Linked DNA regions of Caenorhabditis elegans. The protein of the gene in region 1 interacts with the protein of each later gene in a pairwise test. Each region holds a gene or a part of one and is shown on either strand. Other genes may lie near its edges.

The links.
Region 2: the proteins of lin-41 (region 1) and jac-1 interact in a two-hybrid assay, tested with the Caenorhabditis elegans proteins (one study listed by BioGRID).

Annotation. Positions count from the first base shown.
Region 1 is NC_003279.8:9,339,363-9,344,422, reverse strand, and holds the start of lin-41 (Protein lin-41), read left to right. Parts: upstream 1-1,926; 5' UTR 1,927-2,105; intron 2,106-2,509; 5' UTR 2,510-2,525; coding exon 2,526-2,661; intron 2,662-2,708; coding exon 2,709-2,970; intron 2,971-3,013; coding exon 3,014-3,063; intron 3,064-3,106; coding exon 3,107-3,247; intron 3,248-3,294; coding exon 3,295-3,566; intron 3,567-3,953; coding exon 3,954-4,225; intron 4,226-4,279; coding exon 4,280-4,403; intron 4,404-5,060. UniProt on the Caenorhabditis elegans protein: Heterochronic protein which acts downstream of let-7 in temporal patterning. Plays a role in the developmental timing of postembryonic hypodermal seam cell division and fusion events and adult alae production.
Region 2 is NC_003282.8:16,023,738-16,028,638, forward strand, and holds the start of jac-1 (Fibronectin type-III domain-containing protein), read right to left. Parts: upstream 3,111-4,901; coding exon 2,956-3,110; intron 2,817-2,955; exon of another isoform or gene 2,792-2,816; intron 2,696-2,791; exon of another isoform or gene 2,675-2,695; intron 2,652-2,674; exon of another isoform or gene 2,631-2,651; intron 2,419-2,630; exon of another isoform or gene 2,398-2,418; intron 2,253-2,397; exon of another isoform or gene 2,232-2,252; intron 2,070-2,231; exon of another isoform or gene 2,043-2,069; intron 1,892-2,042; exon of another isoform or gene 1,871-1,891; intron 1,834-1,870; exon of another isoform or gene 1,813-1,833; intron 1,685-1,812; exon of another isoform or gene 1,661-1,684; intron 1,315-1,660; exon of another isoform or gene 1,294-1,314; intron 1,031-1,293; exon of another isoform or gene 1,007-1,030; intron 858-1,006; exon of another isoform or gene 837-857; intron 826-836; exon of another isoform or gene 800-825; intron 159-799; exon of another isoform or gene 135-158; intron 43-134; exon of another isoform or gene 22-42; intron 1-21. UniProt on the Caenorhabditis elegans protein: May act as a positive modulator of hmr-1 function during epidermal morphogenesis. Required for proper localization of other junctional components, such as pac-1.

The DNA.
Region 1 (5,060 bases):
AGACCAATGCGCCTATGGTATGTCGAAAACTCCCATCTTTAGACGACTATGTAATAGAGGTCTTCATTTTTCACTGTTCGCCTTAATTTGTATTTCTTATTTCATTCACAATTCCTGTTTGGTTAGTTTCGGTCTGAGGTATTAAAAAAAGAAACGCACGCTTCGCGACGTTTCTTCTCCTTTTTTTGCGAAAAAAGTGAAAAAGTACACTACTCTTTCAAACATGAGGCCTTGCACTTTTGGCACGAAATTCTGTTTTTGCGACGACGGCGCGGCGGAGAAGATCACTGGGGGTGAGAGGGGAACACTGAATGGAAAAAAGAATGAGAAAGAGAGAACAAACTAGAGACACGCAGAGATCAAAAGCACTGAGCCCAGTGAAAGAGAAACACTTTGGTCTCTTCGTCTTCCCCTTCTTCCCCTTTTTTCCGCAAAAAAAAAAGAGTTTTCACTCTTTCTCTAACCATCTGTCCACTCTCGTGCAGCCTACCCCCAGCAGTCCTTCGGCGCGGCGCTCACCCCCAGGTGTGTAGAGAGTGGGAACGACGAAGAGACTACAGACATTTGGGGCGCCTGGGGGAGACAGCGGGGCAGCCTAGGGGTGGAAATTTAGAGAAATGGAGAGGAAAGAGGGGAAAAAGACTTCTACACACACACACAGACATACACACACTTTTATCGTTCCCACCGTGTTCAATGTCCCATAGGTTTTTGCGATTTTTTTTTCAAAAAATGAATTGAAGTTACTTCCAATGTATATCTGTTAGAATCTGTCTTGATATGAAAAAGATATGTCACGCCCCTTTATGATATTTTGAGACTTTAGGTCAAAAGGTCACAAGTTCAATAAGTCTTAGAAATAAAAATCAGTAATTGAAACGAAATTCATGAAACTTTGCTTCCAGATATCCGGACATGTAATATTTAATAAAAATTAGCAATGAATAGTTAGACATGTATCTTTTATATGGTTCATCCAGAACATAATTCGTACAATATATTGGTTTTTGCTACGTGGCCTAGAAAGTCCAAAAATTCGGCCAGTGATTCATCTTTAATTTTTCACTTCAGAACTTTGTGAAGCTTGCCGACCAAGTTATTTCAACGAGCAGATTTTCGAGAAAATGACCATAGCTCCTTTTAGGAAGGTGGCCGTGTTTTTGTATGTCGCGGCCACATAGTAAAAATCACTCGGTGTAAAATGTGATCCTAAGACAAATTCCAACTTTAAGTTTTTGGCCTGGAAAACCTAGAGAATTGTCCAGAAAACTCCTACAATTTCGAAAAAAGGGGCGTTTTTGTTTATTTTACTTTGATTAATCCAACGCGAGATGTTTATTTAGTTAGTGTTTTTCGCATTCTTCAATTTTCGCTTCCCGGTTTCTATTGCTTCGATTAAATCCCTGTAAAGCTTTCACAAAGCCTAAAATGTTTGCCATTTCCATCACTTTTTAAGGAGCTGCTCAAAAACTTACTTCCGTATTGAATTTTTTGGAAGGAAAAATGTTTCAGATTTTTTTGTTTAATTTTTTTTGAAAATTTATCGAAAAAACAAATTATGTCGCAAAAAATGTTTGGTAAAACAATTTTTGAGATAGAGAACCGTACCGTAATCCTTAAAGGCGCATAGTCGGTTGGAAAAATTTTGTGTTCGTGACGAGACCCAACACATAAAATTACGAGTTTTCATCTAAAAATAAGTGTTTTCAGTGAATTCTTCTATCAAATAAAATTTTAACAAATTTATTACAAAAAACTCTTTAAAAATATCTTCAGATACATTCAAATTCATTTCGCCCCGTATTTTCAAGGAAAAATCGATAAGCTACCGTAACCCCATTTGTTTTATTATTTTATTGTCGCATCATTTTTCGATAATTTTTGAAAAACATTCAATTAATATATTTAAGTCTCGTTTTATTTCAGGCCACGGTTGGCGAACGGGTAAAAAGGAAGAGCCGATCGCCTCGTTACTCAAGGAAAAGGCTCGACGTCGCTGGAGGAGGGAAAAGTTGGTTTTTTAGGATAAAAACCAACTTAAAGTACAAAAAGAGCCGGAAACGGCGGGAATGCGACGTTGGAAACGATCGTGATCTTGAATAAAGGTGAGGAACTTTTAAATAACAAAGCAAAATGCGAAAATATATTAAAAATTAAAAACGTCGAAAAAAAATTAATAAAATTTTTTTATTCGAAAAATTTTGACCTACCACAAATTTTTTGACTACTTAATTTTTTGTTTTTTGTTTTTATTTTCGAATATTAAATTGAAAGAGCGGCATTTTTCTGATTTTCCCATCAAAAATCCTTGTCATCAGCAGCCCTCGGGCCATTTTTCTCTCATTTTGTTCCATTATTTTCATATAAAAAGTGCACTTTTTTTGTGCTTCACTGACTTTTTTGTTCGATTAATTGTTCCATTCGTTCTGAAAAGTCAAAAAATTCATAAGTATTCTAATTGTAGAGTCATCGTTTGCCCTTTCCACTGATAATTAATCAACCTTTTCAGACTTGGAAAAAGTGAAATGGCGACCATCGTGCCATGCTCATTGGAGAAAGAAGAAGGAGCACCATCAGGACCTCGTCGGCTTCAAACTGAGATCGACGTGGACGCCAACGACAGCGGAAACGAGCTGTCGATGGGCGGAAGCAGCAGTGAAGGTAACACTTGAAAATTGAAAAAAAAGCTTCCAACGAAACAACTTCAGGTGACTCAATGTCCCACCATCGCGGTGAGCATTCACCAAACCATCATCATCAGGATAATCATCTTGGCTCGGGACCACCACCACCACAGTTCACTGGCTCACTATTTGACACTCCACCGTCAATGATTCAGTCACCACAGCAGCAACCACAGTTCCAGTTCAACACTGGATTCGGACTCGGACTCCCGCAAGACTCCTTTCGGTGCTCAGTCTGCTCCAAGAGCTCGACGATTGGAGTGCTGCCGTTCGTTTGTGCGCACAAGTGGGGTTTCAAGACAAATTATCAAAATGACAATTATTTTTAGAACGTGCCAATCATGCTACCAGATGACACCGTCCTCGTACGATCGACGGGGTAAATAAATATCTCAACTTTCTGTATGATTTATGAATTTTAGCTTGCAAGCTGTGTGGTGCCGTATCGACAGCCACCGCCAACTTTACATCGCAGATGTACCTGTCTCCGACGCTTCCATCACCGCCACGTGGAGCTCTGATGTCGGATTGTTCGACACCAACGATGAATAATCACATTAATTGTATGTTTTAATTCTCAATTTACACCGAAGAATAACCCAAATTCCAGCATCAACTCCACTTCATCAACCTCGTGCATTCTCATTCTCACTCAGTGGAATGCCTGGATCACCGTCTCCAGTGATGGGTGCACGGATGCCATCGTCTGCTGGTGGGCTCATGATGCGTCCAATTGGATTCCCCGACTCGGACAGCAGTTTGACATCATGGTCTCCATTGCAACAACCATCACAGCTTTCTATCAATAATCTGTCGAGCATCGGAGGACACCAGCAACAATCGCCGATGTTGATGCAAAATGTGTTTGATTCGTTGGCAGTGGTCAGTTTTTATCAAATTTCAAACAGAGAAAAGTACAATTTTGTGGAGTGTGGAGCTATAAACAAATTCAATTTCCCGAATTTATGATGTTATATATTATGTGGTCGCAAATCGAAAAATGGTTCAATTTACGGTTTCGCCGTCAATACCTAACGAGACCCAACTTCTGGGGGTGGACCTCGATTAAAAAATGAGCATTTTTCTACGGCCCCATAATATTTCAAAAATCATTTTTTTCGCAAAAAAAAGTTAGCATTTCTCTCTTCCCAAGAAACATATTTTTCTCCCTGGCTTCAATAAGTTCAATAAGTCTTTTTTCTAATTTTTTTTGCTAAATGCGCCCTCCTGCGAGCTGAAATTGCACCTAATTCCTCGTATTCTTTACAGAACGATGATACTCCTGTATTCTCTCCACTCTCTCCAACGAATACTTCAATGCATATGCCACCATCATTGATGGCATCACCAGATGTTCCAAAACATTCTGCAACCATAGCTCCACCACGTAATTCCATGTGCTCGACGCCACGTCTTCAATTGGCAACACCAATGTCTTCACAATCACAGCAAACTTTTCCAATTCCTTCACCACTTGGATCTCAGCCACAACAACAACAGCCAATGGGTCCGATTCAATGTCAAGGATGCGAATCGAAAATGTTAGTTTTCCCCTAAAACTTCAAAGATAATTAAATTATATTTAAATTTTTCAGATCGTTCGCCTACTGTATGCAATGTCAGGAAGCTTTGTGTATTCATTGTGTTCAAGCTCATCAGCGTGTTCGAGCCACCAAACAACATGCGTTCGTTGAGCTTCAGCAGTTGATGGCTACTTTGGTTAGTTTTTATCTTATCGTGTGTTACTACACGCTTTTTGCGTCTCAACACGACAATTATTTTTTTGGAAATTCATAAAAAGTATGCGCCTTTAAAACGTACTGTAATTAAACTTTTCCATTGTTTTTCATTAAATATTTGTATATTTATTTATCGAAAACCTAAAATTAAAAATTAAAACCATAAAAAATCGATGAAAATTCACAGCTACAAAAATTTGAAACTACAGTACTCTTTAAAGGCGCACACCTTTTTGTAGTTTACAAAAATTGACATTTTGAGACATGATACCGTAGTTTGGGAGCAAAAAATAATATATGTGGTCTATATTAATATCACCTTGATCCGTTTCAAGATTCTCCACGTGCTTGATGACGTGAATCGTTTGTAATCAGGAATCATAAAAAGAGTACGCAATAATCATAAATCAATGACTCCTGTCAATCAAGAAAAAACACAGAATCAGTACTTTTTTGGTGTATTTTTCCGTTTTTAAATGTCTTATCAGTAACTGATTGCAGGATTAGAACACAAAAATTGGCTGCCGACCGTTCCACTACATTAGTAAAACTTCTTGAAAATAACTTTTTGAAAACTATCAAGGAAAGTATTTCAGCTCACTTTTAGATTTTTAAATGAAACTTGTGTCAGCAGTTT
Region 2 (4,901 bases), on another chromosome or scaffold:
CAGATTAACAGCTTATTTTGTCCGCTGGAATGATTTTTCCCACTAATATTTGAAACATTTTCGAAAATATATGATCTATTTGAAACAATGTTAAGAAGAAAAATTGTTATGTGAAATATCTAAAAATAGTATTTAGAGAAATTTTAGACAAAATAACAGTTAACTAAAAAACTTGAAGAAAATTCAACAACATCTTGAAACAGTTTTTTTTTCGAATATTCATAGTTAAAACTGAAAAAAACAGGATTTTACACAATTTTTTCTTTTTTTTTTAGAATTCATCTTTCTGTTGAATTTTAGCAAAAAAAACTGTATTTAAAATCAATTTTATGTAGAGAACGTCGTTTACAAAACTACATGCTCAAAGAAACATCTAAAGCAGTGGAAAAAAAGTGTCTCCCATTCTTCAGAAAATCTCTCCACAGTAAAAGAACAAAAAGTCATCGGAAATGAGAACGGCGAACGCAATTTATTCATTTGTTCGTCCCCTCTCTTCATCGAGGACATTCTCTCACTCACACCTTTTTAACCTTCTGTCTCACTCTCTATTTCTCCACTCTCTCTACACACTTTGGCAGAGTGCCAACGTGCGGGAAGAGAGTGTGAGACGCAGAGTGGAGAGAGGGAAATGACATATTGTTTTAGATGGTCTCTTGTTTGCCGTGGAGAAATGGACCGTTTGAGACAGGGAAGGGAAGGGTATTTTCGATTACTCACACCTTGCACATCCTTGCATTTCCAGTGACGTCATCGGGAACCAATTGTCAAGTTTTTAAAAATTGCTGTTTTACTGTTTCATTTTATCCTTATCAATTGTGCAATAAAATAACAGCTAATCAGAAACATTTTCTCAAAGTTTTGAAACAGTAATTTTAATTTAAAAATTGAAATTTCTTGAAGTTTTAAAAGCAAATTTATGAATTTTCACCGTTTAATTATTTTGAAATATTAAAAAATTTTCAGGCAAGGATTCCATGTATATTATGAAACTTATATGGGTCAAATTTATTTCAAAGGTTAAGTAACAATAATATGAGTTTAACTTGCAAGTCGTTAAAAAACATATTGAAATAGTTTTTTTTGCCAAAATAAAGTGGCCTCGATAAAACTTTCATTAAGCAAACATTTTTTTTGCAAATTTTGAAGAAAATTAACTTGGAATACACTTAAATAAAAACTGCTATTAAAACATTCAAATGTTCAATTTATTCTTATTTATGGTAGGCTGGTTACATTAAAAAATTTTTAACTTGGTTTTGCAGTTTCAGTTGCATATACATTGTCAAACAAAAATTAGATTTAACTATTTTTGGATCTGATAACCAAAAATGTTCGGAAAAAAGTATAAACCCTTGAAACCGAAACTATTTTTTTCAATTTCTAAAGTTTTGCCGCAACTCAAAAGTTGCAATAAATGACCACTAGCGTCGTCGTTCCAATCCAATGATATACCAATAAAACATAGCCGAAACGAATATTAATGACAATAATAAACATTTTGTAGACCTGGCTGAGAGATAGTGTGGGATTTGGAGAGACGGAAGACACAACACTAATCCGATGCAAAAACGGAAAAAATAGGACGGACTGTTTGTATTTGGCGGCGGTTAGGGTTTTGAAACGGCTTTTTTGGAGGGAATTAAAGAGAGGTGAGATGGGAATATCGGATGAATTAATGGCACTATCTTTAATCAATTTAAGTAGTTTTATCTAAACAATTTGAAACAGTAGAAATTTATTTTTCGCAGTCGAGAATTTTAGAATACCGACTTTATGCAGAATTAGGTTGCTTTTAGAGAAATTATCAACTTTCAAAATATATCTGGTTTCCGACTGCCTTTTTATTTTCGAGAACTAATATGTTAAGCAATAGAAACAGTCGGAAAAAAGTTTCCAAAATTTTTTCCTTGACAAACTCCGATTTTCTATTTTTTAACGAAATATTTTACTACTTTTCAGAAAGAAAATTTTGAAATAGGCAACTTTTAACCAGTAATTTGTTTTACAAAAAGTGGTGGAACAACGGTCAAAAAGTGGTTGATTTCTCTGCGTTTTGTTCAAGAGCGAGAATGTCACTCAATTCAGAGCAGTTTTATCTTAAGGTGTAAAAACAGTAGAAAAAAGTTGATACCAAATTGTAGAACAAAACACTTTCTGTATTATTGCTTTGAATATTTTGGATTTTCATAAATATTTTAAAGAGAAGATCGTAAGCTATGCAGTACTACTAGAAAGGACAGGCACTTAAATCAATATTTAATGGAAAATTAAAGGTTTTATTTGGGAAACTAGAAAAAGTAAAAATAAGTGTTAGATTTTTTAGCTAAAAGCCGAGATTTGCTGTTGTTATGCAGAATTAGTTCGTTTTTGAAAAAATACACTACTTTCGTTTCAGCTTGTCAACGAGACCCTATGAGACTGCCCTTCTATTTTGGAGCAGTTATATCTTAAGAACTAGAAACAGTTTTTTTTTTAATTTTTAAACTTAATTTCTAGTTTCGGAATTTTAACTATTTTTTTAATACGCAATCAGTTATTTCTTTTGTTTTTTTTTAATTTTAAGAGTATCAATTTGAATGTGTGAGATTATTCAGAGAAAAAAATCGAGATCATATATAATAAAAACTTATCTGTTTTTCTTTGATGTCAAAAAGAGCTTAGATATTTTCAGTGATATCTAAGGAACTTGAAACTTTAGAACATTTTGTTGGCTGAAAATTTAATTTTCTTCAAATAAATATGTTCTATGCCCAATTTTTAAGTTAGTTTTTGATCAATTTTTCATTTCTGGTTTTGAAGTTCGATTTCAAAAATAAGTGCTTTTCTATTTCCTTGTACTACTTCTCAAGAACCAGAAACTGCAAAACTTTTTTTTTCAATTTCAAAATTAATTCAAACTTTGAGATCTCTTTCAAACCCCTCCCAAAAATAAAAATTCCAAAAAAAAAAACTAACCTAACTAGCGTATTAATCTGTTCCGAAGTGTACACCTCCTTCTTTCGCATCGTCCTTTTAGCGGTATCCGACATAGCTCCCCACTCGGAGCCATCCGCCTCGGTTCCCTCCTCTGGTATGGGCTCCATTTCTTGCATCCACCCCGAGGAGATCATCTGTAAAATGTTGGGATTTTGAGGAGGAATTATTGATTATTTAAAAAGTGGACGGAGAGTTGAGAGAAAATGTTAACAATGAGACATCAGATATGGTTTTATAACAGTGCTTATGAGTACTATGTGAAAAAGTGAATTTTTTTCAAAATTTTTTTTTAAAACAAAATTTCACCTATTCACATTTTCGATTTATTTTGCAAAAATTTCACGAACAATTACGTGATCTAGTTCCGAATAGAAAAAATAACATTTTGATATGCATTCAGGAATAATTGTAAATTTTAGTATTCTATGGAGAATTCTGTTAAAACCTTGAATTAGCAGTTTTAATAGAAATCTCAAAATTAATTATGACAATTTTAATCAATTTTTGAGTGAAGTGAGAATTTTCATACGAAAAATATATATTTACTGCATCGTAGTACAATTAGTTTTATTATAAAATTAGCTTTTTTTGTGAACATTCTGAAACAGTACTTGTCAGTAGAGTAGAGAACAAAACAGACCGATTTTTGAATAATTCTTGAAACGGCCAGTTTTCTCAAAATCGAAGCGTTTTTCAATTGAAAACAAAACGATTTAAGACATTTCTGAAACGGTGAAATTTGTTTTTTCGAAAATGCAAAAAACTCCACAATTTTTTCCAGAAATCAACGCGTATTCCGGATTTCTAGCAACAAAAAACGTTATGCGACGAAGATAATACATTTTCCTCTTAAGAAATTAACTTTTCAGCAGTTGTAGAAATTTTTTTGAAAAATAATGTTTCAAGTTATCCATTTATTATCGTAAAATTTGCTTCTACATTGAGTACAGCTCACATTCAAAAATTGGTAATTCTTTAAAACTTTCATTGAGAAACTTTCTAACAATCAAAAATTCCTAAATTAATTGAAAAATTTTGAAAACGAATTTGACGATTTTCTGCACAATTTCGGAATTTTCGTAGAAAAATTTCAAAAAAAAGCTTTTTTTAAAAAATATCATTTTTTGAAAAAAAAACCGTAAATTATGAAGAACTGTTAGTAAACCGAGTAATATTACAAAAATGCAGATGAAATTTTGGGAAAAGTCAAACATTTTCATCCAAAAGTCATTTTTTTCAAATTTTTAATAATAATTTTAATTATTCTGTAAGAATTCAACGTAATATGCCACGTGGAAGAAAGTTTAGGATGGAAACAAATCTAATTACTCAAGTAAACACCATACTGCAAGTTAAAAAATTTATTTGTTTATATGTTACTTTTGAAACGGCAAATTTTTTTTCCAAAATTGTCTTTTTTTTAATAGCGAGATTCATGGAAAATATAAAAATGCTCCAAAACTTCTATTTTCGAAAAGAACAGTAAAACCAAAAAAAGCCAAACCAAAAATATCATAATTATTAATCAAAGCACCCGTCTCCCATCGGAGGTGGTAGACAATTGGTGGGTGCAAATAAATTTTTTTTGAGCAAGATTGATGAGCCGCGATTTGGAGGGAGCCGCTGAGGATCCCAGTGGGAAAAGTGTAAGAGAAGGCACTTTTTGGTGGGAAATTTGAAAAAAATTTAGGATTAAAATTGTTTCTGTTTCAAAATGTTTTCAAAGTTAAAGACAAAGTTAATGTGAAGTTTTATCTCAAAATGTTCATTTTAAGCGAGGTTTTGTTTTTAAAATGTTTGCTGTCGAAATGGCTATGCAAATTTTAAATCAAACTCATCAGCTCCTGCCGATTAGGTTTCTTTTCTTCGGTTGTTACATAACCCTACAGTAATCCCTAAAATATTGTAAATAGCGTTTTAGGACT